Linked DNA regions of Arabidopsis thaliana. The protein of the gene in region 3 interacts with the protein of the main gene of each other region in a pairwise test. Each region holds a gene or a part of one and is shown on either strand. Other genes may lie near its edges. The genes, in order: VDD, AT3G11580, AT1G16640 and ZFP11.

Evidence for each region.
Region 1: the proteins of AT1G16640 (region 3) and VDD interact in a two-hybrid assay, tested with the Arabidopsis thaliana proteins (one large-scale study listed by BioGRID).
Region 2: the proteins of AT1G16640 (region 3) and AT3G11580 interact in a two-hybrid assay, tested with the Arabidopsis thaliana proteins (one large-scale study listed by BioGRID).
Region 4: the proteins of AT1G16640 (region 3) and ZFP11 interact in a two-hybrid assay, tested with the Arabidopsis thaliana proteins (one large-scale study listed by BioGRID).

What each region holds. Positions count from the first base shown.
Region 1 is NC_003076.8:5,957,196-5,965,094, reverse strand, and holds VDD (VERDANDI), read left to right. Parts: upstream 1-3,452; 5' UTR 3,453-3,621; coding exon 3,622-3,723; intron 3,724-3,981; exon of another isoform or gene 3,982-4,009; coding exon 4,010-4,298; intron 4,299-4,401; coding exon 4,402-4,697; intron 4,698-4,787; coding exon 4,788-5,024; 3' UTR 5,025-5,195; downstream 5,196-7,899. Other genes in the region: SAUR19 (SAUR-like auxin-responsive protein family), read left to right, coding at 1,790-2,062; TRP1 (tryptophan biosynthesis 1), read right to left, coding at 5,414-5,569, 5,649-5,767, 5,857-5,916, 5,995-6,085, 6,169-6,441, 6,556-6,717, 6,830-6,973, 7,326-7,437 and 1 more.
Region 2 is NC_003074.8:3,646,405-3,655,316, forward strand, and holds AT3G11580 (AP2/B3-like transcriptional factor family protein), read right to left. Parts: upstream 5,086-8,912; 5' UTR 4,868-5,085; coding exon 4,291-4,867; coding exon of another isoform or gene 4,175-4,290; exon of another isoform or gene 3,649-4,174; coding exon 3,110-3,648; 3' UTR 2,815-3,109; coding exon of another isoform or gene 2,761-2,814; 3' UTR 2,556-2,760; downstream 1-2,555. Other genes in the region: TBL8 (TRICHOME BIREFRINGENCE-LIKE 8), read right to left, coding at 1-199, 518-924.
Region 3 is NC_003070.9:5,683,035-5,690,409, reverse strand, and holds AT1G16640 (AP2/B3-like transcriptional factor family protein), read right to left. Parts: upstream 3,886-7,375; 5' UTR 3,648-3,885; coding exon 3,582-3,647; intron 3,216-3,581; coding exon 2,877-3,215; 3' UTR 2,683-2,876; downstream 1-2,682. Other genes in the region: AT1G16650 (S-adenosyl-L-methionine-dependent methyltransferases superfamily protein), read right to left, coding at 69-152, 263-437, 562-798, 960-1,099, 1,309-1,413, 1,763-1,837, 1,932-2,015, 2,120-2,215 and 1 more; AT1G16630 (uncharacterized protein), read left to right, coding at 5,661-7,375.
Region 4 is NC_003071.7:17,655,082-17,662,157, reverse strand, and holds ZFP11 (zinc finger protein 11), read right to left. Parts: upstream 4,335-7,076; 5' UTR 4,291-4,334; coding exon 4,273-4,290; exon of another isoform or gene 4,151-4,272; intron 4,070-4,150; exon of another isoform or gene 4,069-4,069; coding exon 3,364-4,068; 3' UTR 3,182-3,363; downstream 1-3,181. Other genes in the region: VOZ2 (vascular plant one zinc finger protein 2), read left to right, coding at 5,877-6,080, 6,197-6,400, 6,588-7,076. UniProt on the Arabidopsis thaliana protein: Probable transcription factor that may regulate cell division and growth.

The DNA.
Region 1 (7,899 bases), on a different chromosome or scaffold from region 3:
GTGTATGAATCCTTCCATGTGGTGTATTTTGATCCAAAGAGAAAGAGTATTAGAGTAACCAAAATTAAAGGAATTGCAAATGACCTATATAGACGACTTAAAGGGCTCAGACTCGATTCTCTCAATGATCTCGATGTTTTCCCAAATAACATTGAGAGACTCTTGTTGTTGTAAGATCATTAATGGCTCAATGCTATTAATCACTTATGCGATATTAAGCTTCTTTGATTTCCTTAGGCTTTTCTTGTCATGATTTGTGATCATTCCTATGGTTTTACTATCATAACATGTTATAGAACAATTAATGTGGATACTGGATACTGCATGCAGACTATTGCATAAGATCCGTAAAACCCGAGACTGGTCTGTTCCTAGCATTTGTCAAGTGAGCCACGTCTCCTTCTTCAAATATTAAGATCAGGACGTACGACAAAAGCAACCAGAGAAATCACAACCAAGAACCACAAGCAAATGTAGCGAACTCAAACCCTCATGAAGTCTAGTTTAGCTTATCGTTGCTCGTCTTTTGTATCCACATTCATTTATCACGTTAGCATCTGGACGACAAAACCATCTAAACTCTCTTCTTATGTGTCCACTCTTACATCCACAAGTTTCAGAAGATTTCCGAGAGGCTTTTAAATTCGCTCAGGGAGTGCTAAAAAGGGTTTCTTGTAGTATACGAAACTCTCAAAACATCAATTCTAAGATGTGAGAAAGTGAAAAAAAATTGGTTATTAAGTGAGTGTCTTTACTATGCAGGATCATATTGATATACATTTTTGGTTATATTCCAAATATAGATTTTCATAAAATAATAGTTTTACATAAAATAGGTGTTGAAACTGTCCTTTTGCTTGTAGCCTCTACAGAAAAGCCGATAATCTTCTTTGAACTCAAGAGGCCTCTGAACAAAGCCATTTCTTGAGTCTGGAAAATCTAAATTTGAAGCTTCTGAGAAAAAGTTAGATGCTCAAAATTTTGAGGTCTGGATTGCTTCACTACTTGGTGAAGAGTTGGTTCTGTCTCTGGATGTATAAATAGATTGATAAAAGACTTCAAATCACCCTGAAACCATTCAAAGTAGGGGTGAGACATACACAAAGATAGTTTCACATGGTTCTGTTTTTTAGGTATGATAGATGACAAGTTGACAACGGAAGCTAATGAGCATTATCATCACTTCACAAGGGTCTGTCTTCTCCATGTCTGTATAATAAATGAAGAGAAGAAGTGAGGTATTCAGTCTCTTTTAGTTTTCATGTGTGGATATAATCAAAGAACAACTAGAGAGTGACATTGAATTGTTGTTCTGTTGTTGAATAACATTCAGGTCCCCACTTTAACTTCTTAATAAATCCATTTCGACTGCAGAGATTAGAGTACTATAGGACAAAGAACCAACCACCTAATCATCACAGAACCTGCTGTCTTTGTTCTTGCAAATATAGGGCACGTCTTATCTCAGAAACATTGAGAAAGCAAGCCCTTGTGAAATTTCACATGGAGATTATTTAAGTAGATAAATTTCATTAATGCATCTTTTCCAGATGGTAAAGACAGAACCATGTGAACTCTTGCTCTAGTCTGTCCCACGCTTCAAGACCACAGTTTCAATGACTTTTTCAGAGAAGTTTCAAATCGTTCATTGATATTTCTATATATACACCCATAACCCCATTATTTCTATCATCAACCAACAACAAGCATTCCAATAACTTGAATCTTTTCATACATCTTCAAGAGCTTCATAATAATTCAAACTTCTTTTATTTAAAATAAAATAAAAATGGCTTTCGTGAGAAGTCTATTGGGAGCAAAGAAGATTCTAAGCCGCTCCACCGCAGCAGGATCTGCGGCACCAAAAGGGTTTCTTGCGGTGTACGTAGGAGAGAGCCAGAAGAAGAGATATTTGGTGCCGCTCTCATACTTGAGCCAACCGTCATTTCAAGCTCTGCTCAGTAAATCCGAAGAAGAGTTTGGGTTTGCTCATCCGATGGGTGGCTTAACGATCCCTTGTCCCGAAGATACTTTCATCAATGTGACTTCTCGGCTCCAATGAAGATGATCCAACATTTTTTCCTTCAGTTAGAAATAGACTTATTCATTGTAAATACATGAGCTTTTTTCTCTTTCTTCTTGAAAGAGTTGTTCTAAAAGTGTAGAAAGTGAAATACAAAATTAATGTTATATACAAACTTCATGTCAATACATTTTTGATCGCTCATTGAAAAAGAAAGACGACACCAAATTCATCAATCAAAAAACTACTCTAATTATAGTTTCATGTTGATTAAAAACAATTAAGTGGAACATCTAACATCCGGATCCGTGGCGCAATGGTAGCGCGTCTGACTCCAGATCAGAAGGTTGCGTGTTCGATTCACGTCGGGTTCAATCCCCCGAACTTTATTCCGGATATCTTTTTGTTTTACCTGCTTATTTCCAATTTTTGCCTTTTGATGCACTACCCCCGGTTCGGGATTCTTGTTACTCTAACCGAGAATTTCAGATCCGGTTTTAGTATTTGTTTGCTACTCTGAATTAGACGGAAACAAATAACAAATGACCACTTTTAACTTACACAATTTATCAGTGGCTGGCTCTTACGTATAGTGTGGGGGTTACATTTAGTTGATGTCTCCAGTGACATTTGATTATAGTTTTCAAGATATTGTCAAGCAAAAAGGAAAAGAAATTTACTTTTGAATTCCAAACTTCTGTTTGTATTTTATTCTATAAATAACATTGCTTTCTCCTTCCAAATAATAAAGACAAGTATACATTGCCCAAAAAGGAAAACTATAGAGACACGCACTAGTTAGGGTTGATGTGGACTGGATCCGATCCCTTTCTTCAATGATTTATTGATACGTATCTGTTACGCTGAATATACATATATGCATGTTTCTTTTGGTATTTTAGAGTACTAATGTATATTCTATAGTTTGATCCCAAAAAAAAACATGTATAGTCTGTAGTATTTTTATTTTTTTAGCTAAGTTTTCAAACATGTAGCTTGTATAAAGTTAATAGGGGTATGTGCTGGACACAAGTCTACATTCTACAGACTAGCTAGTAAATATTAGGAATGAGGTTTTCAAATGGGTGATTAACCAAAATTTGCCGTGAATGTATTTTAGTACAGTATAAGTTAATTAATAGTTTATGCAACCAAAAAAAAAAATATGGAAATATGACGCTGTCTTTTTAGAATTCAGTTACTAAAAATAGGAATTTGCTCTGCTTTTTACGTGTCTGGGAAGTCACGAGCATATTGCTGTTTCTGTGTATCATTACGATATCAAATTACGAATCACAAAAGTTTAATGATTCATGGGAATCTTTTCCAACTAACCACAAGTAAAATTAATTTCAAAGTTAATGCAGAAAAATAAAACACTTTGGCTGTTTTTAGAAATTAAAGTTTTAAGAGACCTCTCTTTTTACCCATTCTTTGCCCACAACCAGAGAGAGAGAAAGAGAAGTAGCGAGTGAGTGAGATAGAAAAGTTGAAAAGAGAAGATGCGAGTGAGTGACTGAGGAGATAGAGTGAAGAGGATTAAAGAGTTAAGACTGAGAGGTTTTGAAGAAAGATCATATCGAAGGAGAGAAGCAGAGATGGTGAAAAACAAAGCTTTTTTTGGTCAGATTATGGAAGAAAGAGATAATCCAGCATTCTTCAAGATTCTTCGAAGGGAAGATCATTCGACTGAAATGATGGTAAGCCTTATCACTTATTTTCTTATTAGCCTTTTTTCTTAAATTAAAGATCGAATCTATTGGTTCTTCAGTGTGTCTCTTGTAGTGTCCTGAACTTAGATCTGTCTGTTCTTGGTCTTAACTAAGTTTTGATGTGTGAAATGATCGGATCGGACCAAATGGATTTTGACTGTACATCGATCAGTAAACTTTTATTTACTGTACTTATCACTGAAATTGAGGAATGTGACTTCATTTTACCATTTCCTGATGTTCCATATTTCTTGATTTTGTTGCCTCTCTGAAGAGAATGATTCCTCATCACTTGATAAGAAGCATCTCCGACAAGTCTTCATCGTTTAAGATGGTCTTAAGAGTACCATGGGGAAGGTCATGGCAAGTTAAAATCTCCAAGAACCCAAATTTTCACTACATGGAAGATCGTGGATGGAACCAGTTTGTGAATGACAACGGTTTGGGTGAAAACGAGTATCTTACTTTCACTCATGAGGCAAATATGTGCTTTAATGTAACCATATTCGAGGCAGATGGTACGGAGATGCTTAGACCAAGAAAAACCATTACTTCTAGTTCCGGTAAGTGTTCATCATCTATGTTATTGCTTTCTTTATGCTTAAGAAGAAGAAGAAGAAGAATACAGTCATTAGTTACTTCTGTGGTTGATTTTGATGCAAACAGGTCGGAACAAGAGAGAAGAGAGGAAGAGCATCTACAAAGATGTGAAGAAGGAAGAAGAGATAGAGTCTTGGTCTGAATCGAGCCATCCTTGTCACAAAACAGCTGAATCTACAAGTGGGAGATTGACGCAGAAACAGGAGCTTAACTTGAGAAAGAAGGAAGCCGATAAAACCGAAAAATCCAAGACGAGTAAGAAGAAGAAGGTGGAAACTGTTAGTAACGACTCTGAAGCCGGTACTTCATCTCTTATTCCAGAATTCAAGCTCACCATAAAGAAATCACACCTTCTGTTCTTGGTAAGATTAAGCAAGACAAGACCAGTGACACACTGTCGAAATGGCTATGTATAAAAGTGTGTATTAATCTAATGAAAATCTGTGATTCAGGGGATCCCAAAGAAATTTGTGGATATGCATATGCCAACTGAGACAACGATGTTCAAGATTCATTATCCGAGAGGAAAGAAGTCATGGGATGTTACATATGTGGTCACTGATGTACAATCAAGATTCTCTGGTGGATGGAGTCGTTTGGCCAAGGAGTTAGGTTTACTGGTCGGAGATGTTTGTACGTTCAAGCTCATCAAACCGACAGAGATGCGTGTGAAAGTCTCCAAAGAATAGACACCATGACGATGATGATATTTTAGGTGTAGTTGCAGAATTAGTGAAGAACTTCGGAACAAGATTATGGTCTGTGATTCAATGTTAGGACTAATTTTATAATTTTGTTTTTCTACTTACTACTTAGGTTTGATTTGTATCCCAATGATGAATCTGAACTCCGTTTGAGTAAAACAGATTTATTCATTTTATTAAAGATTATTGTTGTAGTGTTTACATGATGAATGTGTATAGAGCTCGCTCCGGTCTCTTCTCTTTATTGTTTGACAAAGAAAACTTAAGTTACAAATAACTCCAGCTTCTTCCTTTGGCACATTGCCTCCATCTTCATCTACAATTGCTTGCAAAGGTGATCCGTTGAATACAACAATATCATAAGCCTCTTCTGGTCACTGAGATTTCTGAGCTAAGTTTGAGATGTTTATCCAAGAATCAAGCGTCTTGATAGCTTTCCCAGACGATTGTACTTCACGTGCCACGGTTACTCCTTCAGCTAGCGTTTGAACTCGGTTGCTAACCAGAAGAGCTGCAGCTGCGTTTAGGATCTGAAACAAGATTTTGAAAAAAAAGGATGAACAAATTGCAGAAGTTCAGAGAATGTTGAATCGGCAAATCAAAACATACCAATGAATCCGCAATTGCTCCACTTTCCCCTGAAAGCACACGTCTTAGCACATCCGCATTGTAGTCTGGACCTCCACCTCGCAAATCCTCAAGAGTACAACGAGGAATACCAAAGTCCACTGTCAAAAAGAAATAAGCTTCAATTTCATTAAGCTGCATCTGCAATATTCATTTTAGAGAAGGGATAAAAAGCTAGAGGAAACATTACATGGGTCGAATGAGAATTCTTCGATCTTTTCCGGAGTTACATCATAAACTAGTCCTCCTCCTGTTTTTCGTTAAGCCATGATTGGTTAATAATTGTTCAATAATAAAAGTAATCAATTTTGGGAAGAGATAATCTTACCTAACGGACTCATTTCGTCTAGACCACATGAATGAACCACCAGTGCTCTTTTCATTCCAAATCGTTGCAGTGCCTTTGCCATCTTAACAACCTATGAAACCACACAAGCAAATGGTAAGTAAATGTCTTGTTTTTGTTGATGAACAAACTAATTTCAGCAATAAGTAAATGTACCAGATCTTTGTGGTATACACCAACGACAGCATAAGAAACTCTAGCAGGATTAAGCATAGGTCCCAATATGTTAAAAACAGTTTTAATTTTAAGCTTTTTCCGAACAGGACCAACGATCTTCATAGCTGGATGATACATTGGTGACATCATAAAACCGATCCCCCCTTCTTCAACACATCTTTTAATGCCCTCTGGTCCCAAGTCCAGAACCACTCCTAGTGCCTCTAGTACATCAGCACTTCCACAAGCAGAAGAACTTGAACGATTCCCTTGCTGCAAAATAAGTATCCATTAGTTAGACGACCAGACGAAGATCATTTAGCATTAATGCAGATAGTCAAAATTTAAATATATCGTTTCTTTTAAGGATTTTCTCATTCGTTATACCTTTGCTACTTTTGCACCACAAGCTGCAGCAAGTATTGAAGATCCAGTTGATATATTGACTGTGTTTGCTCCATCACCACCTGTTCCAACTATGTCCACAGCATCAACTAATCCTTCCACTTTCCTGGCATGCTTCATCATTGCCCTAGCTAACCCCACAATCTACCCAATATCCGAATTAAAGTGAACGTTGAGTTAACTTATTGAAGTGCAGTAATATAGGATTATGTATACTTTTTTATTATAAGCCTAGATTGACTTAATGGATACTTACCTCTTCGTATGTCTCTCCTTTAGCTCTCAGAAGAACTAGAAAGGCACTGATCAGCGCCTCGTTTGCCTCATTCAGCAAAAACTCAAGAGATGATTCAGCCTCAGTTTCAGATAGATCAACCCGATCAATCAAGGTTTCAATCAACTGAAAGAAAAACAACAGAACAGAGCAAACGCAGTATGAGAACATAGTAACCCCATGATTTAAATCTCTCTCTTCAAAGCCATTGGAAAATCACCAAAAGTAAAACTCTTTTAAAACCTATAAAGTAGTACACTTTTACTCAAGTCAATAAAACCCATCAAGCAATTAAAATGAAATTCGAAGAACACACAGGGCCAAACATGTTTAGTCAGCATGAAGCCAATAACTCAACCCAACTCAGAAATACAGATACAGATATATAAAAACCCTGAATTGTTCACAAATCAAGAGACTTAGAAACAAGGGATCATCAAACCACAAACTTATCCTGAAAATAGAAATGAAGAGTCACCTGGTTGAAAGATTTAATGGAAGAAGGGCTAGCATTTGCACAAGCAGGTGGCAGAGCTTCAGCTGCACTAAATCCACCGCTCAAACCGAGATTCTGAGAGCAAGCGAAAGAGCTGCAGCAATTCAATGGATCAAGAGCACAATCAAATGACCACAAACAATTTCAAAGGATGTGTTTTTACTCTAATAAGCAGACACCTAAACCCAAAAATCGAGGCTTTACCTGCGACTAAAGGAAGATTGAGCATCCCCACGAATTGGGGAAACAGCTCCGATCGATGAGAATCGTCGCCGACTCAATGTCGGAAAAATTCTAACTCCGGTCAAGTTGCTTCTTCCGCAACTACTGGACGCATCATCTACGGCGTTGAACGAAGTTAAGATCCCTGAAAGCTTGATTCCGGAAACAATGGAGCTCGTCGTCGCCACCGCAATAACCATCACTCGATTGCTCAACCAACACAGTAGAGAAAAACTTGAACGAAGGAGAGATTTCTATGATGGTTCGTTCCTTCCTCTCTAATAAAGCAAAGCGCCTTAAACCAAATCTTAATTAACTTTTAACTTTTGGTCTT
Region 2 (8,912 bases), on a different chromosome or scaffold from region 3:
TTGTTCCGGAAATCGCATCGAAAGGAAACCCTTATGCTTGCTTATAGGGTTTCCATTAACTTCATATATCTCAGATTTATTAGACACTGCTTGTGAAAGCATACACAGAAGAGATTCCCATTGGTTTCTTCCGATAGAATCTCCGACGAACACAATCCTCCCATTCCGACTCCTCTCCAGAAAATCACTTGCGTTAAATCTGTAATCGTTTTCACAACAAGTAAACATATTTAACACATAGAGTAAAAGAAAATTGAATTTGATTGGCATTGGCGCAAAGTTCATAAATAAAGGTTTAAAGTTTCAACCCTTACGTCACAAAAGCAATTCAAAATTCAAGTGGGCAAATCTTTGTTTCTTTTTAATCAAACAAGATTAAAGTTAGTTTTTAGAACCAGTGATTGTAATAACTCTATAAGCTCTAATGGATCAATGTAATTGCCTGTAACCCTAACCCTGATGTTTGTTTTACTCAGAACCATACCTTCAGGTCCAAGCAAAATTACATAAGAATTACCGTGGAAGATCGCAGCCATGTGGTTGCCATCGCCATTGTCGAAAACCAGAATCTTTTCTTCCATTATTCAGACAACGAAAACCAGGATCCAGAAACCGACACTCTTCTCCATAATAAGAGGTTTCGTCCACATCACGGCGTCGACGAACCCATCTTCCGTATGAATAGTCGCATACGTCGTCGTTTCCTCTTTCCTTCGTTAGGGTTCGGGGCGACAATAAGAATCCGAAACAGAGATGAGGCTCGAAGCCGGCAAGATCAACGACGATAACAGAGAATATTAGGAAGGTGATGAGAAGAGAGATCCCAACAAATATATGTTTCTTGATTTTCAACGTTGAGAAGAAAGGAGACGAAGATAGAGAGAAAATCTCCTTCAGAGGATTTGATTCTTGATGATGATCCATGTATGTCGTATAGAAGAGACGTGAAAATGTGAATATGCTGCGATCTTCTTTTGCGAGAGAAAAGTCTTAATAAATATGTTTCTGTAGGGAAATAAATTCGTTAATAAATTAATTTATAGATCCATCATCAATTCATCCATGTGACAGACAAAAGTATTAATGCAAATGCATCCCACATAATTTTATTAACGTATAGTAATAGAAGTTTACTCCCATGTTCGTTTCTACTATATCTTTTAGATCGAGACGAGTTTTAATTTCCCAATATATTAAAGCTGTAGTATAGCAAACTAATTTCCTTATACATCAATTTGATGATTCTGAGTATCTAATCTAATGATAATAATCAATGCATTGTCCTAATCGTTATTCTATGATGAAAGATAGTTGATGAGAGATTTAAGTTGAATTTCTTCGCCTACCATATTAATATAGATAAGGAATAGCCCGCAGATATAGTGTATATAGATATAATTAATTAAATTGGACCGAACTTTTCGGGTATGGTCGAGTATCCATTACCACCACTCACAAGTAGCACATGCTGATTTGCTTTACAATTTCAATATTTTTAAAAATCCCTATTGGTGAATCATTATACTAAAGAGCATTAATGGGAATGACGAAACAACTATAAGAGTGAAGAAACAAACACTAAAAAGGCATATTAATATGAAAAGGTTCATACAAGTATGTGAAGACTTTACCTTCACAAGATGGCTTTGATTTAATTACGAGTCCGTGAACTTATATAAACAAGGGAACACTATCAAAAGTAATAAAATCTTCTCTTTTCTACATGGAAATGTTTCAAATGACAAAGGTAATTACTACACTCTGTATGATTTAATATCCGAAAACTCTTTAATTTGAAGAGCACTAAAGAAACCAAAGAACAGAGAGAAGAGGAGAAACAAGAATTAGAGAATTAAAAAAAAAACAAAAAAAAAATAGAGAATAAAGAAGACTAAAAGTCATGATTGTTTGTTTGTGTTTATGCTTGTGTTTGTGTTGCCGTTTTAGAATGTTTTAATCATATATAGAAACAGAAACTTGCGTTTGTGTTGCCACTTACCATTTACCAATACACTCATATATATGCAGAAACACGAAGACAAACATAAATGCATAGAAAGAATTGGGACCTAAACCCATTTTTGTCATAGCTTGTAAAAATGATTCATATTCCTTTTACACTGTCTTTGTAATGCAAAAACAAAATAGAGAATCAAAAGAAGAGTGTAAGTAACACAGCAACAAATAAAATGGTCCCTGGCTTTGGCTTTGGAAAAGAGATAAAAGGCGATGTAACACAACCTATATATTTACACACATGCTATATATGAATATGCTCTCTCTTCTTTAATCATTCGTAATTAGGCCCACACCTTTTCTTCTCGTAATCTCCTCACATGAATCTCTCAACAGTTCCCAATTCATCTTTCATCATCAAATACATGCTACATGTGTATAAGGTTTAGCCTAGGCCTAGCTCACCAATTTGGGGTACCTGCCCTCAAATGACTTTTGTGCTATAGAAAGCTTTCATTGGTTTTATTTTAGCCTTCAAATATCAACTACTATAAACCCACACTAATTCACATCTTTTGCATATACTTTTTTTTTCTGTTCTGACTCAAATGTACAATAGAAACAAAATCTCATCTTTTATTTTTATTTTCAAATTAGTTAAATACTAAATACATAACGAAGCTACTAATAATATTAATTCTTGTCCATTTTTTCTCTATGACAATTGGGCCAAGTATGGGCCCATAATCTAAATTCTAAAGTTAAAAATCTAGAAAGTTGTCACTTCTTTTTGAATGTCAGTCATCAACCTCGTCCATCTCCTACCTGCTCCAATGCTTCCCCAGCAAATGATATATTCTGTTTCACAATTCCAACACGCAATTTTATTATTTTTATTATCATCAAAAACAAATTGTACACCGAATTGTATAGAATAATATGAAAAATAAAACTATCTTTAGTATTCACTTTATTTCATTAATTTAAGTATACAAATATATAATTCTAAGCATTTCAAATTATATCTGAACATTACAAAACATGGTAATAAATTCAAAACTTATGTCATTGATAAGTTTGTAATGCTTTTAGTCAGTTTTGCTTTCCAGCTTATTAGTCAATAATTTGGTTTCACAAAAAAAACTGACGGTGCCTAACAAATTAGAATAGTAAAACCAAAATAGAGACTGTTTTCACAGGAAACTATATACTTACGGCTGATATTAATTAATGAACAAAAGGAGGCTACAGAGACAAAAGAGTAAACAAAACAAATCAAAGTAATCAAATAAAAACCAAATTGGCCATGTGGTTTTACAGTCAAGTGTATAGTATTATTCTCTCTGATTCCTCCTTTATATAATTTATTAAACATAAAAATCTCTTTCAGGTCTATTTTAAAATTACTAATTTTCATCTGTCTCGTCTCGAGAAACAGCCACGACATCTGTTTAATAATTATATCATACGTAAGCAAAAATTTGAATCTGACAAAAATGTAAAAAAAAAAAATATTTACCATGGGATGAGGAGTTGAGTAATAGTAAATGTGTTGGTCATTATAGACATCAGGACGCGGTGGTGGCTCGACGGCATCACCATGACATTCGAGGTTCACGCCAAAAAGCCTCACCGTCCTCGAGCTACCTGCGACCACCGGTGGTATCGACTGAGCATGATCAACGACGGCGCCTACAATTTTTTTCCACCGTCAAGACACGTGCGCATCTTTTAGTTAAATTGTTTTTTTAACATAGAATTAAAAGGAAGAAATAAAGGGCACGTTAGTCTAAGTGGATTGGACGGTTCTCCTCACGCGCATGTAACGGATTAGTTACAACTTGGAGAAGATTATTTGAAATTGTCGGGTCCAAAATTAAATAATAAGAATGACAAAAATAAAAGACAAAATGTTATTTCATGTTGTTATTTTATATACATTACACACGCAACTAAAATAATTGTCATATAGTTTTAGATAACTCATTTGCTTTTTATAAGAAAGATATTCCACCAGCTAACTAAAATGGTTGAGCTTTCCAAGTGCTTGCCCTAACCTTTAAAAATTCTCATATTTTGTTTATAAAACCAAATAAAGATGAATGTTCTTGTTTACTACCATATAAAGTAGGCAGATAATCTAAAATACCATGCATAAAATATTAATCTCTATTACTTTTTTTAAGAGAACATGTAAATATGCAATACAAATTACGAATCATCTATTTTTATGAAAAAGACAAATCTTAAAAGAGAACAGAGAGGAGTATAAATCTGACATATAGATAAGAGAGAAAGAAAAAACAAAAGAGGAAATAAAGGGTTTGAATTTACCATAGTGTGAATACTCTTGGTGAATATTAGGGTAAGTAGTTGACGCGTGTACTTGACGATAAGGTGTAGTCAAGCCGCTCCAATACGCCGTCGTATTAACTAGAGCTTCTTGAGACACAACGGAGACAGCGGGAGAGGAAGAAGCTTCACCGCGTCTCCGCCAGCCAATGAAGAGTCTATGGAGATCAAAACGGTGACGTTGAAAGAAAACAACGTCGCCTGCGTCGAGGTGTTTGTCTTTGACGTACCTGCTCCATCCTTTGGTCAACACGTAGCTTTGGCTACTGTTCCAATAAGAGTATCTGAATTTCCAACACTTGCCTGACTCATCCTCGAAGCTAAGAAGCATCCCTTTCTCCGTCGTCGCCACGTCATCTCCGCTGCCGCCATTATTATTATTATTATTGAGAGGGAAGTATTTCTCGGCGTGTTGTTTTGGTATGACTAAGCGGTTTAGCTTTCCGACGTCGCTTGGTGTGAGTGATTTCTCGAACAAAGACTCTCGTTGTGCTATAGCTACGTCGTTTTGGTGGTGATGATGCAACGAGAGAGTGTTGTGGTAATGGTTGACTGACATCTTTTTTTTTGGTTTCTTGGAGTGAGAGAGAGAGAGAGGATTTGCAGGTGTTGGTTTGGTGGTGAAAGAGAGATGGGTAATGGTACTAATATAGTATTATACAAAGGAGAGAGACAGAGAGTGAAAAAAATTGAAAATGGTTAAATTGATGTGAAAACTGTGGGAACTATTTGATGAGGAGAGGACGACACGATACCGATAGTACTTTTAAGGTTTTGCGTGATGATATTTCCTTTCAATCATTATTTTTATTTTTTTCTCTTCTTTTCTATATTGTTGTTGCAGTCCATAATCCATATATATTTAAAAATGTGGTATTGTTTTTTTTTTTCTCGTCTGATAAAATCTTGTCCTAAACGGCATTGGATCCACGAGTGTTCTATAGTTATAGTGTAAAAAAAGAGTAAGCCACACAAAACGCCGCGACGTAACCCTTTAATTAAAGTTGAAAAGGTTTTGATCATGTAGAAGAAGAATATGTAATTATTTATATATTAGTAAAATTTGATGTCTTGGAATGTTATAAGTTCAACATATGTTATTTCAGCATTGCCGGAACTAAATTCGAAATCCTCCGGAGAAAAGATGATTTGTGTTTTCTTAATTAAAAAAGTTTCAGTATTCACCGGATATGACGTATTGATTAGCAAGATTCTATAGACTGTCAAAGCAGATAAACCTTACATATCAAGCAGCCATAAATATGTGGATTGCGTAAGTCAAACAATCCTTTATCATGGACTCATGTGGTTTGCAATTACTTGATCAGATCCTCATTGGTTTCTGAAGGATTAAATTTCTCTCATAAATGGTTATTTGATCATTTACTCTTGTATGAATTTTCAGCTGAGAATCTTACTAACTGCCATTAATTTATTTGCAAGACAAAGATAGTCGTTTTGTTTTTCTCAACCATTTGGTTCGTGGAATTGATGTGTCAGTATCTTTTGTCTATAAACGTAAAAATAATCTTTTGACAATTAAATTTTGTTAAAGTAGGATAAGAAATTAACTAGAGATAACACCTTCCTATGATATTTAGTTTGTAAATGAATCTATGAGAAATTGAAAACGAAAACAAAAACAAAAAGAGAAGGTAATGAAGAAATAATGAAGGATTAAAGATCAAACGGTTGAGAAGTGAGGTGGTACATATTACGCAAAAGTAAGAAGGTACAGAGGATACTTATCCCTGACGCAAGTGAGAAGCTCAAGTTGTGTAGCATGTGCTTTGCCTTTCCGACACACCATCGCATGCATCTTCACTTCTACTTCATACCATCCCTTATGTTCCTCTCTCTCTTTCTCTTTCTCTTTATCTACATTTTATTCTCTCTTTTTCTTTTCCTAATCATTTTATAATCGAGAGGGATAAAGACTTCAAGATTTATTTGTGAAATCGACTTGACCTTTTGGCACTCTTTCTCTTTTTTTCCTTTACAATATTGAACAACGTAACCATCCTATACTTCGACGCTATTTAATGCTCATCAAGCTGTGATATTTGACCAAACATATAAGTCATGAATCTAGATGAGAAATTGAGAACAGTGTGAAACATTTGATCAATTGTAGAAGAAAAAGTTCTAACTAATATATCTATGGATCGCAAGTCAACAAGTAAACAAACATTTTGGTCTAGCTAGATGCTTGAGTAAATGTTGTTTTCTTGTTTGATGGGTAAATTTCCATCTGTAGTTATTACCGTGCATCTTAAGTCGTGAGTTTCGTATATAATTCTGTGAATATAAGTAATATAACATACCAAGTCTACCACAAAAATCAATGGGACGTGCAAATGGTTACGTGAGTGGTCCTCTTCTATTTTATTTGACGAATTTCTCAAGTATCGTTAATTTTATTTAATATCTTTATCACTTGTTAATTATAGGATCATGAAATATCTGTCACGTGCTTTCAGGAATATCATTGGTGCTTACACGTTTCTATTTTTCCTAATTTTCTCGCAAAACTAAGACTAGTGATACTATTTCATATTTGTTTTCATGAACCATTTCCTCTAAGAAATGGTTCCTCTCACAATTTAACTCACCTAATTGGGAAGCATTAACGATTAAGAGCATATTTTGTAAAAATTTCCAATTCACGTTTTGTAAAAGTTTTCGTTGAGGTCAAGTCTTGTGACTGTTATAACAATAGTATAACAAATAGCCGAAACAACTAGGGTTTCCAAATTCCAAGATAATTGTAAGAATAAAAGAAAAAAAACAAAGATATAAGATTCGTTATATTTGACGTGTTTCACTCCTCTCCTCACACTTAATCGATTCAAAATAAGTGATATAAAATAAAATAAAATTTGTAGTGATCCATGTTAATTATGTCTAAGATATGTCATTGTCAAATATTAGTTTTGCATAATTAAAAGAGGCACTGAAGGACAAACTGACATGATTTTCCAGGTCGATTTAGAGGCACCTTTTTGCATGTACGTCTGCAACTCGACCCCATTAATATCAAATTAAACTAACTCTTCAATTCACTATAAGTTAAAGTATTTTATTTTCGTAAGTATATTTTCGAATAAATATTGAATAAAAGTAAGACTAGTCTAATTGTTAAGTATTAATTCATGAATATAGCACATGTTTGGGGGACATATCCCTTCCCACGAATAATAGAGGTTGTTGGTCGCTTGCTTACTTCGTCTTTTTTTCTACTAAAAAATTATAAGAGAAAACAGGTGTATCAGAATTTTTTGTTTACGCATCGTAATTTTTTAAAAAATAAACTATACTACCGACGTCTCCCATCAAATATTAAGCTTTCTTTTGTAAAATGGCGATTTTTTAGAAGTTACTATATATGAACAGCCTATCTTAAATGAATGTATTACTAGACAATCACTGATCCAGTAACCACTGACTGATTAGATTCCAGGTTTAGAAAAATAAAATTTAACAAGATAAAGAGTTTCTGTTAATTGGGTTTGATTTACTAGCTTCCCGATCCTAGCTAGTCAATAATGCTAAATCATGTATTCAATCACCTAACTAAATTGATTTGCGTCGTATAATTGACCTGTCACACTTAGTGTACCTACATCCTAGAGCAAACCTCATTTCTGATTTCATAATGTATTATGGAAGAAATTACATCTTTTTAATATTAGAACATATATAAGACACAAACACAAAGTTGACTGAAATCTTCTAATTCATGTTATTAGTTTGGTAATATTAACGAATGATACTCCATCCGTTTTCTTTTAAAAGTTTTTATTTGTTCATATTATTTGATTTTTTTCAATTCACTAGACAAAGTTTATGTTTATTTAAATGATCATCCAAAATCTACAGTACTTGCTTTCATTGGTTGAATTATTTTTGGTTATATAATAAATCACATTTTATTAGTTTTTGTGTTTTATCTAAAATATTTTAGAAAAAGTAACGGAAGGAGTACAAATTAGTACTATTAAACAAAATTTCATCGTGATTAACATTCTCATAGTCAAATATTTTTATTACCCTTCACAACATTTCATCGTGATTAAAAAATTGTTTAGTGCAAAAGAAATGTAGATTAATGAACTTGTGATATTAATAAACACATGTTAATTTTAATTAGTTTAGCCTCTTCTGCGAACAAACTTTCCAACAAGACTCTTAATCACATTAATCGCCCTTTTCAACAAACACTACAGCTTGTCTAGATACGTCACCGAACGATGCCACAACTTTCTCACCAAACTCGTCAATTCAACTTTTTTAATATGATGACTTTTTCCTGTTATCAAAATCCATATAAACCCTATAAACTTAGCTACTTTATTGATTAAAATAACACGATTCCCATACTTCTAACGAATGCGACGTTGCCTCTCAAGCACAGATCCAAAAAAAAACGTATTGTATTTTTTCTTTCCATAATTGGTTTTCACCACTACTATTTTTTTTTCCTTTTTTGATAAAAACTACTATTGTTTATTTCAATAATTTGTTAATGAAACCTCTTTAAGTTTGAAATATTTACTCCTTAATAACAGAAGAAATGAAGTGTTCGAAAGTGATTTTTGGTTTAG
Region 3 (7,375 bases):
AAGTTAAGATTCTATTAACAACTAGTCACAGATCTTGGAAGAAACCACATAACCAAAAACCATATTACCATTTGGAAAGCAGCACGAAAAGAATGCAACTCGAAATTCTGCAGACCAGCATCTTCTCCTAAACTGCTCCATCTCTCAGCACTCTAAGAAAACACATGTAATTTCTTTACACAAATGGGTCACAGAGAAGAAACAAAATGACTCAAAACAACAATGTTGCAACATCCAAAACAGATACAATAGTGGACTATACCTGACAAGCTAAATCACGGGCATTTTTGCCAAGGGAAAAGCCCAAGGATCTGAGACCAGCGCTCATCGGATAGCCACATTTGGAACAAGAATCCTCACTACTTTTTTCAGATAATAAGTTGTAACAACAGCCAATGCTCACTAATGCTTTAACTTCTTCACACTCCATAAAAGTCCTGACGAAATCAAGTTGCATATTGGTTCAGCTTTCACGGGCTAACACAGCAATCAGGACCAATACTGTATTCAGAAGATAACAGATATCGCAAATGAATAATTGCAGCAAACATTTTAACTAACCTTAGCATTGTAACTGATAGATCTCCACATGCATGAAGGCCAGCAAGAACAAGTGAACACGATCTGTTTGCATCACTTGATGATTGTGATCTGCTTTGACCTTCTTCATTCAATGCACTTCCACTAGAATCCGTCTCATCCTTCTCCAGATGAACATCAGTCAAGGCCTTCAACATTTCTGTGGATAAAACACGGCATGTAATCGTCATTGGAACATCTGGGCACTTGTTTCCTGAACTAACAGAGAAGAGGTTAAGTAGCATTCACAAGTCTAAAATACCAGAACTGTGCACAAAGAATTAGGAAAACAATGAGCGACTCTTCAAGCTAAAAATGGAAAGAGACATCTGATACTTGGTAAAGGTTTGAAATAAACTTATAATGAGCTAACCCCTTACCCAGATTTACGCATCTGTGCTGCAAAATGCTTTTTTATGCGTGCTGCGCGTGCATCTGTTACCTTTCCATGATGAGAGGAAGAATCGATTGCAACCACTGAGTGCTTATATTGGAAAGAGAGAACCTGCGCTAGATAACCCTGGACAAAACATTTACCAATGATGTTATTTAACACACTTTAGGAAAGCTATAATATACTACAAAGTTACTAAAACTCTGATATGAAAGAAAAACCATCACTCGAAATATTCCTTAAACAGCCAAAAAGAGAATTCACCAATGCAGACGAGAAAAAGGAACCATGCAATTAAGATTGATAGTTAAACAAGAGAAAGGGATTGAAGATACCTGGCCAGCACCGACATCAACAACAGTAGGAGCTCCAACACTCTTAACAACTGAGCTAACAACAGAGGAAAGAACTTCAACCTGCATGATACCATAATAAGTGACCTACAGATCCATTCAAATGAAGTGGCCAGTATAAGATACATTTGACAAATACCTTACGTTTAAACAAACATAAGTTTTGTACTAAGAAACTTTTATATAAAATGCTATGAGCTGTTAATGATCCTCAATTTCATGTTTTACGCGTGAAGTGGCAGATAACTTTGCCAGAATTTGATGGTAAAAAGACTTGAACAGCTACAAAAAAAATATATACTCTCTTTTGAATTTAAGGTTCTTGGATTGGGATTAGTCACCAGATGCAATCTACTGAAATTCCTACCAAAACAAGACATCATTGAAAGACACGACTTGCACCTCTGGATAGTGAAGTGTGAAGATAAAAATGTACCTCATGTTTTTTCTTAAGATTCATGCCCTGTGAAAGAACGGTGCTAAGAGGTACCATATCCACGTCTGCGAGTATCTGCCAACAGTCGAAAATGATTAAACTTTATTTAGTCTAGGATCTAAAAATACTAATCCTGAAACAGCACAAACAGGTAAAGAGAATACAATACCGCCTGTAAATCCGCTTGCTCTCGAGGAAACGATAGAGACCTCAACGTGTGAACAAATTTCTTTAGTGAAGCAGGCCAGTGATCCTATAATCAAATACTATAATCAATCATCTCCTTTCCAAACTAAAATAAAAATCTACCCTTTCTATCAAATATCTCAATCATGAAGACTGAGACCAGAACTTTACCTGGACACCACCGGAGGGAATAAGAAGAATATTTTCCGGCTTCTCATCCTTTAAGCAACTCATCCATTCCTCATTAACAGCTTCCCATTGCTTATCCTGGAATACAAACCCATCAATCAACTCATAACCCAACTCGAAGCTGAATTTAAAATTGTTTCCGATAATCGATCATACCTTGAAGAAATTGACAACGTGAGCATTGATTAGGAAAGAAAACGGTTTAAGGAAATCGATAATGGCTGTGATCCATTCTAGGGTTTCGGCTCTCGTTTTGCAAGAAAACTTATTGCTCTTCATTATCCCGATGACCTGAGTAGCAGCAACGATTCTAGTTTCCGCCGCCAAAAGCCAACCAAACAGCAAACACTTGCTTTTAACCGTCAAAATGTTTTCTAAAAATACCTCGTAAATTTTAATTTATTCAATTTAGCCCACATTTATTTATTCTGTTGTCAATACACCCATATTGTCACGTGGCCGAGTCTTCAAGAGACTCTAACTGCACCGGAAGGTTTTGACTCATGCCCCCTCCTACACTTCCTCTCATTCTCTTGTATTAACACTCTACTTCACCAAATACAATTATCACAAAAATGATAGCAATACACAGTAAATCTTTTAAACCATGTTCCAAAGAATGTAGCAGAAAGCAAATACTAGTATTCGTAATATTTAAACTAAACAACTGGTTACATAAATCCAACATGAAAACTGACTACTTAAACTTAAAGCAACTTAAAGTAGACCCAAATTTTAGTTACTGATGTTTGTCTTGATCGTCGCCGTCTTCTTCTTCTTCACCGTTTTCATAGTCATCAACCTCTACTGCGACTTGAGGGAAGTCTCTATATTCGCTACACATGTTATGACCATATATGATAACATAAAAGGTCCTGTCGCGGTCATAGATGAACTGCAAATACTTGCCATCTTCGAGATTGTTATCTTTTACAAAATTCTCCCAACCAACTGTAAGAAACACTTTCTCTCCTCTTTTCTTCATCCTAACCGTCCAAGATCTCCCACTATAGTCCAGGAGGTCCACAGTTATTGGAAATGGTGCTGGGAAGTATTCGTTGAATCCCAAGGGGATTTCCTAATCAAACATTTATATATAAAAAAACAACTCTCAGGAGACATTCCAAGAGCAGCAACGTAGAAACAATGGACTTGCTATTTTTCACTTTTCAGCCCCGCAGAAATGTTTGGTTCAAGCAGCCTATAACAACACCAACACATAAACTTCATTCTAAATCTAGCAAGATTCAGTAAGCTTTCATTTGCTTTTTGCTAATTTAAAGCTAACAAAAGCAATTAAAGGACCTAAGTTATTAGCTCCATGAAAATGAACTAAAGCAATTTACCCTAAACCATAAGTCTCCAAATCAGAACACTAAACACATATTTTGAACTTGTTGAAATAAGAAAATAAAAAAGAAGAAAGATAGAGAGCCATGCTCACCAATGATTTAGATGACTTTTCTGAGATGAAAGGCTTCATAAATTGAACCTCACCAGTGTCAGCCATGGAATAGAGTGAGACCAAATGTAGCTACAAGCAAAATCCAGAAATTGAAATGAAGAAAACAAAGAGAAGTGAAAGAGAGAAACCTTGAAAACAAACACTTTTTGTAATGCAGAAACAGAGAGAGAGCTTCAATGGTCCCGAGTGGACTATTTCAATTTTCTCTGTAAATCAAAAAGATGAAATGAGGAATTGATGTCATAGTCAAACAACTTGCCACCTTTTGACCAATCACTGCTTTTCTATTCTACAAGGCCACACCATACAAAAAGTACAAAACCAAACTCTTATTACTATTGGGCCAAATTATACAGCCCAATAGCCCAATAACGAGCTGAGACAAATCCTATCGACCTAGAAGATCCAACTTAAAACCCTAGAGTTCTCTCCACTATTTAAAGACCTCAAATCTTTTGATGTACGACTCAGAATTCTTCGAAACAGCGTCTGCTCTAGAAATTCAGTGTTTTCTCGAAGCTTCATTACTATTTTCTAGGGAAAAATTTAGAAGTTATTTTGTCTATTGTGTTGTGTTTTCTTAGATTTAAAGTCGATGTTTTACTCTTAATAAAGAGGAGAGAGCGGTGATAATGATGATGAAAGATGATTCCATAGAACAATCCAACTCTGACCATCATTGATGATCTTACCATCATGCACTACCATCTGAATCTCGCTCTCCCTTAAATCCTTTTCTTTTAGTATGAAATCGTTGATTTTGTTTTCTCAGAATCGGATTTTGTCGGATCTTTTAGTTTTGTCTCAATTTGCCTTAAATCGATTGAGAAAAATTCATCATTGGTTGATTTGGTTCTAAGTATTTCATACCAAAGTTCTGATTGTTATTTCTGTTGTTAAATTGATTTGGTATTTTTTTCTTCGTTTGCGTTCATAAGTCATAATGCAGATTTAACTCATATCAACAGGTTGATATTCAATAGCAAAAATTTGGCCTGAAAGAAGGAAAAGTAATCCCCTCAGAATTCAATTCTCATGGACTAAATTAATCTAGAAACGTAATTGTAACAATTGTCTAGAACTATTTTGATGGTAGTTATTCCGAAAACGATTAGTTCTGCAACATGAACACTCATCTTAATTAATCACTTTCGCAGATAATCGCAAAATAAGTTATAAATCCATAAAATTATGAAAGATATTCTGATTTGTGTCGATGAGGTTCACACAGATGTGGTATTTGAGGATGACTTTTAGAAAAGGATTTTATTTCATTGGAACTCAGAAAATAATGTAAACTGGGCCTATTTAGTTAGCCGATGACCAAATTTTCTTTAATGTCAGTCAAAAGCCCGTTAAGTAAAAACCTTCAACATAATTGGTGCTTTCACTTTTTCCATCAGTGGACGGGCCCAAAGCCTGCTTTTCTGATTTACCTGTCTTTTTAATAGGTTGATTAACGTCTCTTACCCTTTACGAGAGCCCATAACGGCTAGTTTATTCTCTGCGATCAGACGTGTCATCATCGTGGCGGCCCAGTTACATCGTCTGCTCTATTTTCCGGCTACAGAAATTGAAATTTTGTTTTAATTTGAACCCCAAGGTTTTGAGAATCATTAATTTCTTCCCACTGTTTCTACATTGTCCATAAATATCCACGTTTATAAATTTAACAACTTTACAGGAAGAAAGAGGAATCAAATCTTACGTTGTGAAGTCTTTAATAAGCATGGGGCATTTAGATAGATCTTAAATTTATGGGGAGATAACAGAAATTTGGAAAACTAGGGTATCAGTGAAAAATGGTCAAAATCAGAATCAATTTGCAATACTTAAAATTATTAGGGATTTTTCTATCCACTATGTATAAATAAATCGCAAATTGGCAACTAGCCGTTACGATCTCTCTATCTCTCTCTCTTTTAAAAATTCAAAAACTTAGGAACTTTTTACATTCACAATCTTGCAGATTCTTGCATATTTTCTTTCCTTTAACGAGCGCAAAAAATCTGAGATTTGTTAAATAACCCATTCTGATTTCCGGAGTGATTTTCATTCATGGCGTCTTCTCCAGCAAAGAACAAGATCTCTGTTTCTCCTTCTTCTCTATTCTCTTCCTCTTCGCCTTCAATGCCTTCCAGACCAAACCCTAAGCAAAGAAACTCGGAAACCGGAGATCTGATGCGTCGCAGTTTCCGAGGCAATCCATTTTCGGCAGATCCGTCCCGGAGAAACTCAATCGGTAGAGAATGCAGTAATCGTGTTGAGATTGGTGATAAAGAGAATCAGAACGACAAGGATCAAATCGCTAATGTCGTCAAAGGTCCAACAAAAGGTTCCAAGCATTTCATGTCACCGACAATTTCAGCCGTTTCCAAGATCAATCCATCGCCGAGGAAGAAGATCTTGTCTGATAAAAACGAAGTGTCTCGATCCTTTGACAAATCCCATCACCAGGTTCAGGTAAAGTCGTCTGTCTCGTTTTCTGATGTGATAAGCATCATTGGGGAAGATAAAGATGTAGACCAGATTTGCATCGATGAAACTAAGCAGCTTCGTGAAGAGGAATCACATGATATTACTGTCAGTGATTTCGATGAGATTCTTGAGAGGAAGAGTAATGATAATTCAAGCTTCAAGATCAGTCCTCTTCCTCCTTATGTTCCATGCACATTTCCTGTGTTTGAGTCTCATGAAGTGGATCCAGTGGTGGCACCTTATGATCCAAAGAAGAATTACTTGTCACCGAGGCCTCAGTTTCTCCATTATAAGCCAAATCCAAAAATTGAGCATCGTTCTGATGAGTGCAAGCAGCTTGAGGAGCTTTTCATCTCTGAAAGCTCTTCTTCTGACACTGATTTGTCTGCAGAACGAGAGGAGGAAGGTCAACAAGAGGAGGAAGTTGCTTCTCAGGAAGGTGTAGTTGCAGTAGAAGAACAAGAAGATGATGGTGAAGAGCGTTTGGAAGCCGCAGAGGAAATTCTGGATGTTGATGGTGAAGAGCGTTTGGAAGCTGTAGAGAGTGATGATGAAGAAGAAGAAGTAGTAGTTGGCGAAAGCATTGAAGAAGAAGAAACTCATCAGATTTCAAAACAGTCTCGTTTCAGCAAGACATCCATGTTGCTTGGTTGGATTTTGGCTCTTGGTGTGGCGTATCTGTTGTTGGTTTCTTCAACGACGTTTTCTCAACAAACCATCACAGATTCACCTTTCTATCAGTTTAACATCTCTCCAGAGATCATAATGTCTGCTAGCGAGAACTTTGAGCAGTTGGGTGCAAAGCTGAGGATGTGGGCAGAATCATCATTTGTGTATCTTGATAAGCTGGTCTCAAGTCTACGAGAAGAGGAGGGAAGTGTTCCTTTTCAATTTCATAACTTGACAGTTCTTTTGGAAGACAAAAGGTTGTCTGATGCTGTTTTCCAGTCAACTAGTGTTGAAATCATTGTTGATGGGTTCATAGTGGATAGCTTAGAAGTGGATATAGAAGAAGTGAATGTTGGTCATCAGGAACCTGAAGAAGAATCGGAAAACAGTGGTGAAATCAGTCTTGAAGCTGTCTACGAAGAAGATGATAATGAAGTCGAGCAGGAGAATGAAGAAGGAAAGGTAAACTTAGAAATTGTTGATGAATGTGATGAGCAGGCTGAGATCAAGATAGCTACAGATACAGAGGTGAACGGAGGTGAAAGGTATTCAGAATCTCTTTCTGAAGAAGGACATGGTGGCCAAGAAACTGATGTTGTTGAAGGGCAGGAAGAATATGAAGAAAA
Region 4 (7,076 bases), on a different chromosome or scaffold from region 3:
TATTGATTGATCGTGCTGGATCTGCTTAGGTGGCTTAGGAATATTTGGTTACATGGAGTGAGTATGTAGCTGGTACAGACTAGGATTCAAATCACCTGAGGAGATTATTAGAATTTAATATGTTACAAAAAAAAGTATTAATATTATGTACTTACGGATTTTGCACACGAGAGAAATCGTGTGATTCAATTAGGATTAGTGTACGCATGTGACTTTCTTCACTTAGTGCTCGTGTACTTTAAAAGTTACTCGGATATGGTTATAGTTGGTAAGTTTGTTATCATGTAAATAAAAAAAAATCAAATAAGCAACCGAAAATTTGAGAAACAAGACCAAATTAACTATAGTTTCATTTTTTTTCTCAACTACAGTCATGTTATCAAACTTGCAAATGAGTTAGCTGAATTATATTTAGTGAAATAAAATCATTTTTATGTATTTCATTTATGTGCATGAACCATGCTAAGCCATTTTCTAATCGTTTTAATTTTATTGGATGTTCCAGAAAAAAAAAAAGATAAATTCAAATCAATATCGGCTGAAAGAATATACTAATTATTTGTCAATATTTTAAAAGTTTTAATTGTCTCAAAACATCTTAGTAATTATGTTCCCATAATCCCAATTTAACATTGTAGTTCATGGTAATCTAAATTGAAGTACGAGATAATTTAGGACGTATTACTGGAACAGTGAAGTAACATAACTAAACGTTAAAAGACTACTAAAACACTTGAGCAATGGGATCATAATTACTGTTATTTAAGAATTAGTTGAGATAATTGCAGTTTGCGCTAACCCGTTTTTCTTTTCCGGTTTAGATCATAAATTACAGAAGAATGTTTAATGACATAATAACTTAACTCGAGGGAAAACTAAATCCCTTGGGAGTTTTCTCCATCACGCCTGACTAAAGCAAAAATGTCTCTTTGTGTTTAAAACTTACAATTCCCATTCGGACTTTCTCGATTTTTCCAAATATCATTAAAATACTTTTTTAGTTCACAAATAAATCCTATATTTTATTTGCATTGCATCGTCGCTTTCGAATTTCAGTTCCAGATATTTGAATTCCCATGGCTATATGCAAATTTTAACCAGTAGATGTTGGTAAGAATAACTAAATGAAACAATCGGTAAAAGAAACATAAGAGAAATTTTTGAACTCAAGGAGTGTAATCATGTGGTTGGGAGGAAGGACAACATAACACATAAAAAAGGCCTAGTGTTTACGGACTGAAAAGCAAAATGGGCCGTTAAAGCCCACATAGGTTCATTACGATGTTGGGCGTTGGTTTGTTAAAAAAATTGCACCAGCCGGGAATTGAACCCGGGTCTGTACCGTGGCAGGGTACTATTCTACCACTAGACCACTGGTGCTTCGATGTCCAGGCGTTTCCAAAGATTAAATTTATAGGTTCCTCGCACACTAATTGATACATCTCAATTTTCTTTTGTATTCTTTGGTCGAAGGATGACAAACTCTATCACATTTTACTCTATCATAATTCATATGAGAACATAATTTTGTATGTCACGCGGTTCCATCAGAACAATCACCTCAGACAAAATAAAAAGATTCTTGGGTTGGAATGAACCGGTGAGAAGACATAACTAAAAACATGTGATTTTGAGATAGAGACAGAAGTCAATGTGATTGGACAGTTAACAAAACCTATAAGTGTTTACAGTTTTAGCCAAATAATCTCTAGGATTGCTCAAATAAATTCCTCACCATAACTAGAAGTTAGAACTTAGAATTAGAACCAAATCTATTTAAGACAGTGAATTGCAACGGAAGGTGATTATTGTAAGAAACACTAAAACTTGGGGATACATTTGTAAGAAGTAGAAAAATATTAGGCTGCATGATGAAAATCTCTTACCTTTCACATCACCCAAACACAAATAAACTCACTGTAATTATTATTCATAGAAAAGGGAAGAATTGAAGGGAACGTAGAGATTAGAGTGGAAAGTGATCGATTCTAAAAAAGGAAAGGTGATGATGGATTGTATATATTAAATTAAAATTGTTGGGGAAGATGGAAAATGTCAGATTAAATTTGTTCATGGGGAAACCACAAACATCCCAAATGTATTGACCAAACATTCCATTTTCTTGTTTCCTTTTCACATCACTTGTTTTCTAATTTTCTAATCTTGTCTCCTACACTCTTGGCTCTTGATCTGTCTGTACTCTCTACATTCATTCATGTTTAGTATAAATATAGTTGATATGGTATTGAATTCCATGACCAAAAAAAGTAGTATAATCACATGCCATCAAAATTGAATATTGTTCAAATTTAATGGTTTTTGATTGTATATTCGAAAAGAGACATTATTATTTGAAGAAATAACTAGGGATGAAGTCTCTTTTTGAACTACATATCCATCCACACTCACACGTGTGATGAATCAAAGAAGTATAAAATTGTTTTAATTTAATAGTAACATTTTGTTGGTCAATATGAGTGGTTGAATTTGACTGAGGCATATTTAGATATTAGCCTGGCATTTAATTTGATTAACAAACTCTCGTTTGTTTAGGCACACGAATTTGATCAAAGTCACATTCACAACTCTGAATTCTCCATCTTCCAACGGTTCTTCAGGCTTTCGACTATATATAAACTGAATGTGGAATAATTTAAAGACATTTTTCTCAACAATGAGAAAATTGTTTTCATTTTTTTCACGCACACATACCATTAAGTGCTTTCACGACATGCATGAGAAATGCTAGATATATGTAATTATACATAAAGATGTGATGGTGAGTGTAAAAGATGAAAACATTAACTATTCATGAGTCAATTGATCATCATCCATCTTTATATGTTTCATAGTACCACTTTGTCGCATGCGTCTGTGTCTCATCAACCCATCTCTATAATAATGCAATCTTTATCACTTTTTGTCTTTCTTAATACTCACATACACATGCAACCCACTTTCTCTAATCCTAATTTCTAGCTTCTATACTGCACGTAATTCTACTACACAGTTTCATATTGTATAACAACATTAGGGATGATTGAAATTGACAAATTTATAACCAATAATAACACAATTAATAAAGTTAAAAAATTATAACATCGTTGTTTTCTTTTAAAAATCTTCTCTTGATTGAAAAAACTAGGAAAATAACACATATACTGTTGAACACTCTTGATAAAAAAATCATATGGAGATTTTTTCAACTTTAATTTCATTTTGACTTCCAATAAATTTAAGCCTAATACTATTTAATACCATTAGCCTGAATGCAATCACAATCTCTAGCTCACGTACTGCTCAGCTAAACATGATTATACTAGATATAATTTTGAAGTACAAATACTAGCTAATCAAAAGAATTTAGAGGTAGCCTAGTCGAAGCTCCAAATCAAGAACTTGGTTGGGATTCCTCAAACTCATCCCAAGCTCCAACCCCATGACTTGATCATCTTTCTTATTCATCAGATCCCCACGGCTTATCTCACATCTTACTGAATGACATGCATCGATGGCACTTTTCTTGATCTCTCTGCTACATACATTGCTCTTGTTCTTCTCTCTGTCCATCATCAAACCTCCATAGCTAGTAGTACTGTCCAAAAGATCAAACCGGGCAGAAGGAAAAGGAGTGGTTTTGGATCTCTGGTTGGTTAGGGAAGGCTCAAGATGAGCTGTTGTTGTTGAAGAGGAAGAAGAAGAGCTAAAATTAGGGTTAGGGTTTGCAATAGGTGTGTGGTGGTGAGGTTCGAAGAGCCAAGAAGGGATCTGCCTGAGTTTTGCTCTGTCTCTTCTATGAACATTCATGTGGCCTCCAAGTGCTTGAGCAGATCTGAACTCTCTCCTGCAGAAGCTGCAAGTGTAATTCTTGGGAGGCCATGGGATCAGCCCAGCTTCGTAATTCTTGTAGTGATTCATGATGACTCTGTTGTCACCATTACCGTCTTCTCCTTCTTCTTCTTGGGTTTTGTCTCTGTTACTAAAACTTGCCAAATGTGTTCTCTTCATATTTTCCAACAGATGATGATCAATGCTGGTGGTGAATGATGAAGATAGTATGATACTCCCCTGCATGAAATAAACTAAGATGTTATGTATGTATATATTAATTCAAAAGTGAGAAAGAATAAGAGTGGGGGATGATGAAAACCGTATAGATAGAGATTTTTGAGTTTGATGAGGAACTAAGGAAGAATGTAACTACGGAGGAGTTACTATGTGTTATATAGAGTCAAAAGGGAAACAAAAACAGAAGGTGGTTTTTATCCTTACTTGAGGAAGGAGGTGCATGTACGGATGATCATTTATTAGGGTTTAAGTCTGTTACATGTTTGGTCAGATATATTGGAGAATAATGAGTATAGGCTAGGCTATGTTCGATTAGATATCATGAGTGGAAATTATTTAAAAAAATAAAATAAAAAGAGAGAAAGAAAGAGACAAAGAGGTAGTTTCATGATTAAGAGGGAGAGAAAGAGGAATTGAATAGAGGCTACTTAACTCATGATGCTCATATGCCTGCAATGTGTCTGCTTGTTACTATAATTGGAAGTTACTTGAGACCAATGTTATTGTGGTATGGGAACTCTGTGTTGCATTAATATTTTGTGTCAAAATCTTGCAGGGAGATAACTTGCCATTTCATTTTCATCATATTCCATCTCTGGCTCCACAAATCTCTTCATTATATATATTTGAACATCTATTATATACACACAAGATAGCCTAAAAATATGAACATGTGTTTAGTTTTTTGATATGGAGAGATTGTAGTGAATAGTGATGGAGGGCCAAAAGAAACCAAAACTATTACTAATTGATTTTGACATTGATTAGAAGAAACTGTAAAGGAAAGAAACAAGGCTTGTGTATGCATTAAGGACATAGACAATGACGTCCCTGATGTCTTCAGAGTTATTGCAGCTTATATCCATAACTAAGAAAACTTACATATTACTTTAAAACTAAGTAATAAACCAGTAACGCTAACAATCGTATGCCACATCTAGACAAGTGTAAACAAAATTGGTGGATATAGAATTATAACCCTATCAGCATATCAACTTTATGGGTTGAGGAACTCAATTTCGGTTGTCAAATATATATTGTGTGACAAATTTTAACTTATCAAATTTTATTCTCATTCCTTAATCAAGCATTAAAGTTTTCTCAATTGACCAATCTCTAAGAATTGAAAAAATAATCTTCATCTAGTTAATGCATATCTATTGAATTTGGAAAATTTAAAAGTTTTTTTTTATTAATTTTGTTTTTGGGAAAATCATAAAAGACACCCTCCCCTCAATAGAAGATGAAACGCGGCGTTTCATAAATAAAAACGAGAAAATCAAAATCGTCGCTCTCTGTTTGCTGGCGTAACTTAGCCTTGTTCTTCTTCTTCATCGCGATATCTCCGGTGTCTTCTTCGTCTCCATCAGAAGAAGAAGCTCTCTGTATCCATCCATATCGAAAAAGTATGAACTTTATCCGAATTTCTTCTCAATTTTATGGATTTATTAGTCAGACTCATGTTAGGGTTTTGTTCGATTTCATGAATTTAGGGTTGAAATTTTGCTTGTTTGTATAGACTCTAATGGAACTGATGGTTTGTTTTAGGATTGGGTTGATCTAAAAAAATGCTTTTTTGCTTTGTTGTTGTCGTGAATTCTGCTCAATACCTTCCATTAAGTAATCAGTTTTGGTTTGTGATGAATAGCCAGAGATCGGAGGAAGGAGAGAGAGATACCAATCTCTGTTGCTTTGGTTTTAAGGTAATGTGTTTGTTTCCTTCCTCATGAGAATCGGAATATTAAGGTATTTTGTGGTTAAGATTTTAGTTGATTTTTGAGAATGGTTTTGGTCAGGGTTTAGAGGAGATGTCAAACCACCCGAAGATCACATCGGCGCATCAGAATGTGGAGGAGAAGCTAAGGGAACTTCAGGAGAGGTTCTGTCATCTTCAAGCTGCTAGGAAAGAAGGGCGGCATGGTGACCTTGCGCTTTTAGAAGCCCAAATCTCTCAGAATATTCGGGAGTGGCAAGCTGAACTCACTGCTCCTTCTCCTGAATCTTCTCTGTTGGTTCGTCCTACTCCATTACCATACTTCTCTATGGTTTATGGTTCCAATTCTTTGAAAAATAGTGAATCTGTAAGCTTGGTTGAGATTTAGCTCTTTTGGTCTTTAACATGTTGCAGGGTGAAGGTATTAGCCAATTCCTTGAGGAGTTTGCTCCTCTGTTGAAATTAGACGAGGAGGATGATGCAACTAGTACGCTAAAAGAACATGCTGGAGCAAAGCCTGATCCTGAGGGTTTTTCTCAAAGCTTGTGCCCTCCTGAATGGACATCTGAGAATTTTAGTCAAAGTCCTTTCAACGGAAATTTCTCCTGCGGCTTTGAGGTGAGCTAGATACAGTTTCTGCGTCAAAATTGTCTTCTATAATCTTTTGATTGTTGGTTAGATGTTCCTAGACATTTGAACACCGTTGATTCTTTATTCCAGTTCAGCTATGAGTTTTGATCTTTTTCATTCTTGTCTTAGTTTTGATTTTGTTTCCTTATGTACAAGTTCACCTTTTCTATCTCAGGATGCTCTTAATAGCACAGAAACACATGGCCAGCAACTCCATTATGGATATGAAGGGTTTGATCCAAGCATAAACTCCGCTCCTGATTTCCATGACCAAAAACTCAGCAGCAACTTGGATATAACTTCTCAGTATGATTATATTTTCTCCGAAGTGCGTCAGGAACTAGATAACAGCCCTTCCACTAAGCTTGATTCTTCTGAAGAGATTGACAACTTTGCTGAATTTTCTACTCCATCAAGTGTCCGTGTGCCTCCATCTGCTTTTCTGGGACCTAAGTGTGCACTATGGGATTGCACAAGGCCTGCTCAGGGCTCCGAGTGGTACCTGGATTACTGCAGTAACTACCATGGGACTCTAGCTCTGAATGAAGATTCGCCTGGCACAGCACCTGTATTGAGGCCAGGGGGCATCAGTTTGAAAGATAATCTATTGATTGATGCTCTTCGTGCAAAGACTCAGGGTAAGAATGTTGGGATCCCAGTGTGT